2 linked regions of the Cricetulus griseus genome follow. The protein of the gene in region 2 purifies or fractionates together with the protein of the main gene of each other region. This does not show direct contact. Links are inferred from orthologs where the notes say so. Each region holds a gene or a part of one and is shown on either strand. Other genes may lie near its edges.

Region 1 (3,822 bases), on a different chromosome or scaffold from region 2:
CAGTTTTCAAGAATACTTGAAAAGTTCAGAACCATTATATAACACAAAGCCCTCCTTTTCAAGCTTGAGTGAAATAATTGCATAATGTATATTCACAAATATATATAAAAATCCAAACAACAGAAGACAAATATAACTACATCAAAATGAACAACCAAAACAACAAACAGAAATCTATAAGGTAAGGGTGCATCTGAATGGAAACTTTTCTTTCATTTTTGCTTCTTAAAAGTGCATCAGATTTTTTTCTTTTCTGTATTATATAAAAACATTTCTACCAATACTGGTAATGTGGAAGAGATATTGAAGCTAGCCAGTTTAGTCCATCATTTTCTCCACCACCTGTTAGAGCTGAAACCCTTCCATTGGTGCCTCCTGCTGCTGAAATACAAACTGTTGCTGGTTTTCATCCACCTGAGGTGCAATGCTGGGATCATCATCTTCTACACCAAAATAGTGTTCAATTAGATCAAAAGCCTTTTGGTAAACTTCCTGATTTTCATGGCTTTGCAGAAACTCGATTTTATCCAAGCCTATCATAGAAAGAACACATGCAAGAAACAAATTATTATTAGGGCTTCAGTATATATGAAAATAACAAATCAATAGCATCCATTCACTCCACTAAGACTGGGAGATTTATTTTTTCTATTTCAATTTTTTTAATTTAAATTAGAAACAATCTTATTTTACATATCAATCCCAGTTCCCTCTCCCTCCCCTTTTCCCCTGCCCCCCACCAACTCCCCATCCCACCCCCCCTCCATCCACTCCCCAGGAAGGGTAAGGCCTTCCACAGTGGATCTTCAAAGTCTGTCACATCATTTGGGGCAGGGCCTAGACCTTCCCCTGTGTCTAGGCTGACTGAGTATCCCTCTGTGGGGAATAGGCTCCCAAAGTCCATTCATATACGAGGGATAAATACTGATCCACTACCAGAGGTCCCATAGACTGCCCACGCCTCCTAACTGACACCTACGTTCAGGGGACTCAGTTCAGTCCTATGCTGGTTTCCCAGATATCAGTCTGGGGTTCATGAGCTTCCCCTTGTTCAGGTCAGCGGTTTCTGTGGGTTTCCCCAGCCTGGTCTTGACCCCTTTGCTCATCACTCCTAAGATTGGTCAATTTTTTAAAATTGTTTGCACAAATAAATGAGTTCACACTCATGCCTTATTCTTTAAGAATGACAAATATAGGGGACTAGGGATATAGCTCAGTTGGTAAAAATATTTGACTACCACACAGGAAGCCCTAGACTCAAACACCCTTACTGTATAAAACCAGGCAGGTGGTACTTGCCTGTAACCCTAGCACTGGGAAGGTATAGGTAATAAGATAAGGAGTTCAAGATCATTATCCTTGACTATACAAAGAGTTCCAGGATAGCTCAGGCTAATGAAATCTAGTCTTTCTAAATAATAAGCAAACAAACAGTGGGGGGGGGAAGTACAATATGAAGAAAGACACAAGTCAGGGAGGAAGATTACAAGCACCAACCAGCCTGCTGTGTGTTCCTAACTACGTCAAGAAGTTAAATTATCTGCACTTGAGTTATAAAAAAGTCTAGTTTTAGACTAATTCCACAGACCCCTTCCAGAACAACTATGCTACATAATGAAAACAGAAAGAGAAATAAAACAAATGAACAAATTGAAACCAGAGGGTTTTGGTATGAAATACATGCAAATGATATTTGAATCCATGGCACATCACAAGAAAATACCATAATCTGGCTATTACAGAATGCCCCAAAAGTACAACCTATAAATGAAGCTTGAGAAAAAACTTCATTCTGAAAGAATGAGAGAAATATGTAGCATACCATTTTATTGCTTTCAGGAAAAAAATTCTACACAGATCTGAGTAATGCTACACTATTTTTCATTCAAAGACAAATTACTTTGGGCCAAGCAGATGACTGAGCAGGTAAGGGTGCTGGCCACACACACCTGACAGACAGCATGAGTTAGAGCCCATAGCCATGGGAAGTAGAAGAGAACTGATCCCACAAAGCTATCCTCTGATACTCACATGTGCACTATGGAACTCATGTTCACAAACACCAACTAACAATAAAAACATTTTTTATAAGACACACCACTTGGATATTGTAGGTAAGGAAAAAGCAAAGCAGTCACCATCTCTGTAAACAACCACAGAACACCCCAAACACAATTAGGACAATGATTTTGCAAACTTCAAAGAAATAGGTGACAAAAAAAAGGAAAAAAAAATAGATGAGACTGAGTCATGTGTTAAATATTTTTAAAAAGTCCTCTAGAAAAACCTTATAATAAACCATAAAAAACAGGGTTACTAAGATGGCTCAATGGCTAAAGACACTGGCTATGTGAACCTGATGATCTGAGTTCAATCCATAAAACTGTCCTCTGACCTCCACAAACATGCCATGGCACATGAGCCCATGTACCCATCCCATACACAAAATAACAAGTTAGAAAAATAATCACTTTGAAAAAAGTTACATACAGAACTAAATAAAGTTCAATAGTCAATTGTGATTAGGAAATACACTAACACAAGGGAAATAGCACTTTCTTTTTTAATAACTTATCCTTCTTTATATGCAATGGAATTTGGCCAGCATGTATGTTCTATGTGAGAGAGTTAGATCCACTGGAACTTATTTAATTTTTTTTTTTTTTTAAGTTTTTCTAGACAACATTTCTCTGTGTTGCCCTGGCTGTCCTGGAACTCTCTCTGTAGACCAGGCTGACCTCAAACTCACAGAGATCCGCCTGCCTCTGATCCACTGGAACTTGAGTCACAGAGTTGTGAGCTGCTCTGTGCATGCTGGGAATTGAACTCCAGTCCTCTGAAAGAGTAGTCAAAGCTCCTAACCACTGAGCCATCTCTTTAGCTCAGAAACAGCATATTCTATACAAAACAAACTAAGAAATTAACATAAAAACAGCTTAGTGACATCACTTTACACAAGTCAATAAGAGGAAATACCAAGTTATAGAGGTACTTTCATACCTAGCCAGTGACTCTGTCAACTAAAAGTCCTTAAGAATGGAAAGAAAACAATTTTGTGCCTATGATTCAGCATTTGCATTCCTGAAAATATATCAGCACATATGGATTTATCTGAATATGATGGTCTATGCTTCTACTCACAACTTCTAAGAAACTGAAGTGGAGGCCTATCTCAGCTACACCGTTGAGAGCTAGTATCAATAAAATAAAAATCCCAAATCAAGGCAAAAAAAAATGCTGCCAATAAACAGAAGAAACAAATTTACAAGCAGAAAGATAACTGTTGTGGCTTATATGAAGCATTGGAAACTAATGGTCAATTACCAGTATGTGGCCTTAATTGCTAAAACATTGCTTAAACTATACCCACTCTTCTATCCAATATAGTATACATCTGTCCAATCATGGAGAAATGTACAACATACACTACTTAAATCAATACAAAGTCTTTGTACAAAAGGAAAATATAAAAAGGAAGGTAGATAAGGAAAGTTAAATAGTAAAAAGAAAACGATGAAGACGAATTGCTACAATATAAGATATGGGTAATTATTTAAAAATATTTTTCAAATATACTGTTTTTATAATGAAAACAAAACTTATAGAATGGGGAAGGGTAGAGGTGCAGAAGGCAGGAGGCCACTTAGGGCAGATCATTAAGAATACCCATAATTGCAAACTTTCAACTGCTTGCTTACCATATGCTTCTTCAATGAGAGCACAGTATGGATTGACACCCACTCCATTCTGTTTAGATTCTTGTTCTCCAAGACGTAAAATATTTTCGAGTCCATTCAAAGCCACCTGAACTATTTTGGAGTC
Region 2 (3,822 bases):
ATCCTTACTCTTAGCAGTACCCTAGAAGGGAGAAAGAGATACCTTAGCAACAATGTAGCAAGCCTTCATTCAGACTTATCTGAATAGTGAGTGCTCTTACTTGTTACATTGATGTTTCAAGTGCTTCTTGTAACTCTCATCTTGGAACAGAGTATCAGGGTTATATTTCCGGATCCAGTCTGCCTTATGAATGTCAAAAGTACTTTGTGACTTTACTTTTTTCCCTTTCCGCCCACGGGGCACAGGGATAGACAGACCTGGGAAAGGGGCGACATCAAAGACTTGGATTGAGAAAAACCCTTACACCTGAAAAGGACTTAAATACCTTGTAGAAAAATGAAAGGGAAGGAGCTGATAATTACCTGAATGATTCTGCAATTCTTTTGTCTTGCCATTTTCAGCAGGGCTAATCAAGTCCCAAATGAAGCTTTTGATATTTTCATCCCCACGATAGTGCAGAAGACAGTAAACGAGGATGGCACGGCATATCGTCTCCACATCTCTTTCAGTCATACGTCGCTTAAAACGTCCATGAGACAAAATATCTCGCCAACGTCCCCAACTAACAAAACAAGAAGAGCAACAACACAAATATTTTGGGAGAGATTTAAATTCAGTAATATTCCCCTGGGTCCCAGAATTGCCATCTCCATCCAAAGTGAAAAACAAACAGAAGCTCCCTTAAAGGTAGTGTTTCTACGTGATACTACTTGGTCACATCCTCCATCTGAGGCAACAGGGAGTCAGGAGTCAGGAAGTGCAGAGGTGTCCCACTGCTTGTGACAAGTTGTATTCTTACCCATATACCAGGAGATGCTTTTCCACCCGAAAGCAGTCAGTGCGCCCATAGGTGTGATGCCGGTCATGTCTTCGAGAGCGCGGCCGCTCATCATCCTCACTTTCCAAATCAGAAAACTCAACCAGGTCATCATCTTTCAGAGTGCTGAAGTGCCGAGTCTGTTTCCGTACTCGAGGCGTGTCAATCACCAAGTTATTCTATATAGAGAATCAGAGTTATTTCTGAGATCTGCCCACTGGAAGAGAGTGAAGACACTTAGGGACTGACATAATCTTGAAAGTAAGTTATGAAAGTACTCAGATCTTAAAGCATGTAAACAGTCTACAAGGCTCAGGAAGAAACAGGTGGTAGACATCTGTGGTGGTTCCAATAAGAACGGCCCCCACAGGCTCACAGATTTGAATGATTGGTCACCAGGAGGTGGCACTATTAGAAAGGAACAGAACATGTGGTCTTGCTGGAGTAGGAAGTGTGTCACTTGGGTGGGCTTTATGGTTTCAAAAGCTCAAGTCAGGCACAGTATCTGTCTCTTCCTGCTTCCTTTGGATCTTAGATGAAAGACTCTGAGGTACCCATGTCTGCCTGTGTGCCAACATGCTTGCTGCCATGACAATAATGGACTAAACCTGAAACTATAAGCAAGCACCAATTAAATGGTTTCTGTTGTAAGAGCTGCCATGGTCATGGTGTCTCTTCACAGTGATAGAACAATGACTAAGACAACATCTAAGTATTTTTAGAAGGTATCCTAGGTAGAGAAAGCTTCTATAAACTTTGTGTATAATATTCCACCATAAGCATAATTAGTATTAAAGAGCTGGAACTACTAAAAAGTGAAAGTATATTGTCTTCTGCTACACCCGCCCCCTGCCCCAAAGGAGAGGTAAGCTCACCTTGCTATTCAGCAAATCCATGTCTAAGTCTGCCTTTTTGGCCCATTTTTGCCAAAAGTTTGGATCATCCAGGGAAATATCTGTCCTATTTTCAGAAGCAACAAAGCTTGCCTAGGGAGAAACAAAGGCAGAATAAAGTTAACTATAATGCTTTACACACAAAGGGAAATTAATAAGTATTTACAAACACTTAAATCCTGGAGGTTGCTTTCTCTATCCATGTCAGCCCACTTAGGGTCTGCCATAGACAGAACATGCCTTGGCAAAGGTAGAGCCTTTCCCTTCAGACTCAATAGTGATGGTTGTAGTCCGCCTCAGCAAGATCTGATCTATGTCCTCTTCACAAAACTTAGAGCCCTCATCGTCTTCCTCCATTATGGCAGCATATGCACCTTTCCTTAAGAGATCTTCAATCTCTTTCTTGGAGAACTGTTGAATCTGAAAAACCGAGACAAAGATAAAAATCCTACGAAAGAATAGTGTTGACAATTAATTGTACTGCAAAAATAATCATCAATACAAATTCTGGGGACCTGAACTTGGTATCACGAACACTGGTGAAAGGAGGAAGGAGAATTGACTGCACAAAGTTGTCCTCGGACACACATCACACATGCTCTGAAATGGTTGCTGTTTATCTCCCTCCATTACTATGACCCACCACACACTTGTCTACAGACTTACTCCAGTGATGTTGCCATCCCGACCACTCATGGACTGAAGCACAGCCTTATCCAATCCCAACTTGAGGCTAGCTTTATCAAACATCTCTCTCTCATAGGAATTACGAGTGATGAGTCGGTAAACCTTCACAGCTTTGCTCTGTCCAATTCGATGACACCGTGCCTGGGCCTAGTTAAAAAGAGAAAGAAGACACATAATATCAAGTCTTAGTTATTCACACTCATAAAGAGTCATGAAATCAACTCAAAACCAAAAACTTCAAAAAGAAAATTCTGCCCCACCTTGTAAAATGGGGGTCAGCAAACTAGGGGTTGTTTTTTTTTGTTTTTTTTTTTTTGTTGTTATTGGAGTCAGGGTTTTGTTGTGTAGCCTTGGCTGTCCTAGAAGTTGCTTCATAGACCAGGCAGATCACAGAGATCTGCCGGCCTCTGCCTGGGATTCAAGGTGACAGCCACCACACCTGGCTTAGCAAACTAGTTTATGTGTTTATCTTTTCTATAAATGAAATCAGATTCACATATAGACCCATTGATTCAACCCATGTTGCTCACTGTTGCTCTTGTGCCACAGGAGCAGAAGTGAGTGGTTGAAACAGAACCTACAGACTCCAAAGCCTACATTTAGCATTAGTTTTTTTTACAGAAAGTTAGCGGATTCCTGACGTAGCTGCCACCTCTAAGTAAACAATTTCCCTCTTCTTTGAAAGAGGGGTCTTTCTAAGAGACTGTGATTTACTAACAACCTCTTGGATTAGGTAGGTAGTTTTTAAGAAAAAGAATTTCCTTTACCTGCAGATCGTTCTGTGGATTCCAGTCTGAATCAAAGATAATACAGGTATCAGCAGCTGTAAGATTAATACCAAGTCCACCAGCACGGGTGCACAGCAAGAAGACAAAGCGGTCTGAGTCAGGCTTGCTAAAGCGGTCGATAGCAGCTTGTCGAAGGTTGCCTCTAACTCGTCCATCAATGCGTTCGTATAAGTACCTGGTAAGGAGAGATGGATATCACAAAGGGGAAATGTGGCTAAGTAGAAGAAAGCAAGGTCTTGCATGTGCCAAGCAAACATTCTACCACTGAGCTACACAATTATCCTTGAAACTTTTTGAAGACATGATAACCACACGACATTTTAGAATGACTCATCTTACCTCCTCTGGATTAGATAATCCTCAAGGATATCTAAACAGCGTACCATCTGGGAAAAGATGAGAACTTTATGGCCACCAGCTTTAAGCTTTGGAAGTAACTTGTCAATAAGAACCAATTTGCCAGCTGACCGAACCATGGCCTGTAGGTGGAAATCTTGAGGTATAATATGGCAAGCTTCCCGAAATTCCATCAGGATTTTTTCTTCTGCACCTACAAATAAAATAGTCAAAAATGATGTTATGAATAAGTGAAAACATATAAAATCTTATTGAACATAACGGCTTGAGTTAAGTAAGC

Evidence for each region.
Region 1: the proteins of Chd8 (region 2) and Kpna5 purify together in Homo sapiens (affinity purification with mass spectrometry; 3 studies listed by BioGRID and IntAct, with this or other methods). This does not show direct contact. The link is inferred for Cricetulus griseus from reciprocal best matches to the Homo sapiens genes CHD8 and KPNA5.

Annotation. Positions count from the first base shown.
Region 1 is NC_048595.1:257,192,128-257,195,949, forward strand, and holds part of Kpna5 (importin subunit alpha-6), read right to left. Parts: coding exon 3,699-3,822; intron 534-3,698; coding exon 346-533; 3' UTR 1-345. UniProt on the Homo sapiens protein: Functions in nuclear protein import as an adapter protein for nuclear receptor KPNB1. Binds specifically and directly to substrates containing either a simple or bipartite NLS motif.
Region 2 is NW_023276807.1:207,299,907-207,303,728, forward strand, and holds part of Chd8 (chromodomain-helicase-DNA-binding protein 8), read right to left. Parts: intron 3,736-3,822; coding exon 3,525-3,735; intron 3,361-3,524; coding exon 3,165-3,360; intron 2,545-3,164; coding exon 2,377-2,544; intron 2,131-2,376; coding exon 1,951-2,130; intron 1,804-1,950; coding exon 1,693-1,803; intron 997-1,692; coding exon 800-996; intron 563-799; coding exon 363-562; intron 282-362; coding exon 101-281; intron 22-100; coding exon 1-21. UniProt on the Homo sapiens protein: ATP-dependent chromatin-remodeling factor, it slides nucleosomes along DNA; nucleosome sliding requires ATP. Acts as a transcription repressor by remodeling chromatin structure and recruiting histone H1 to target genes.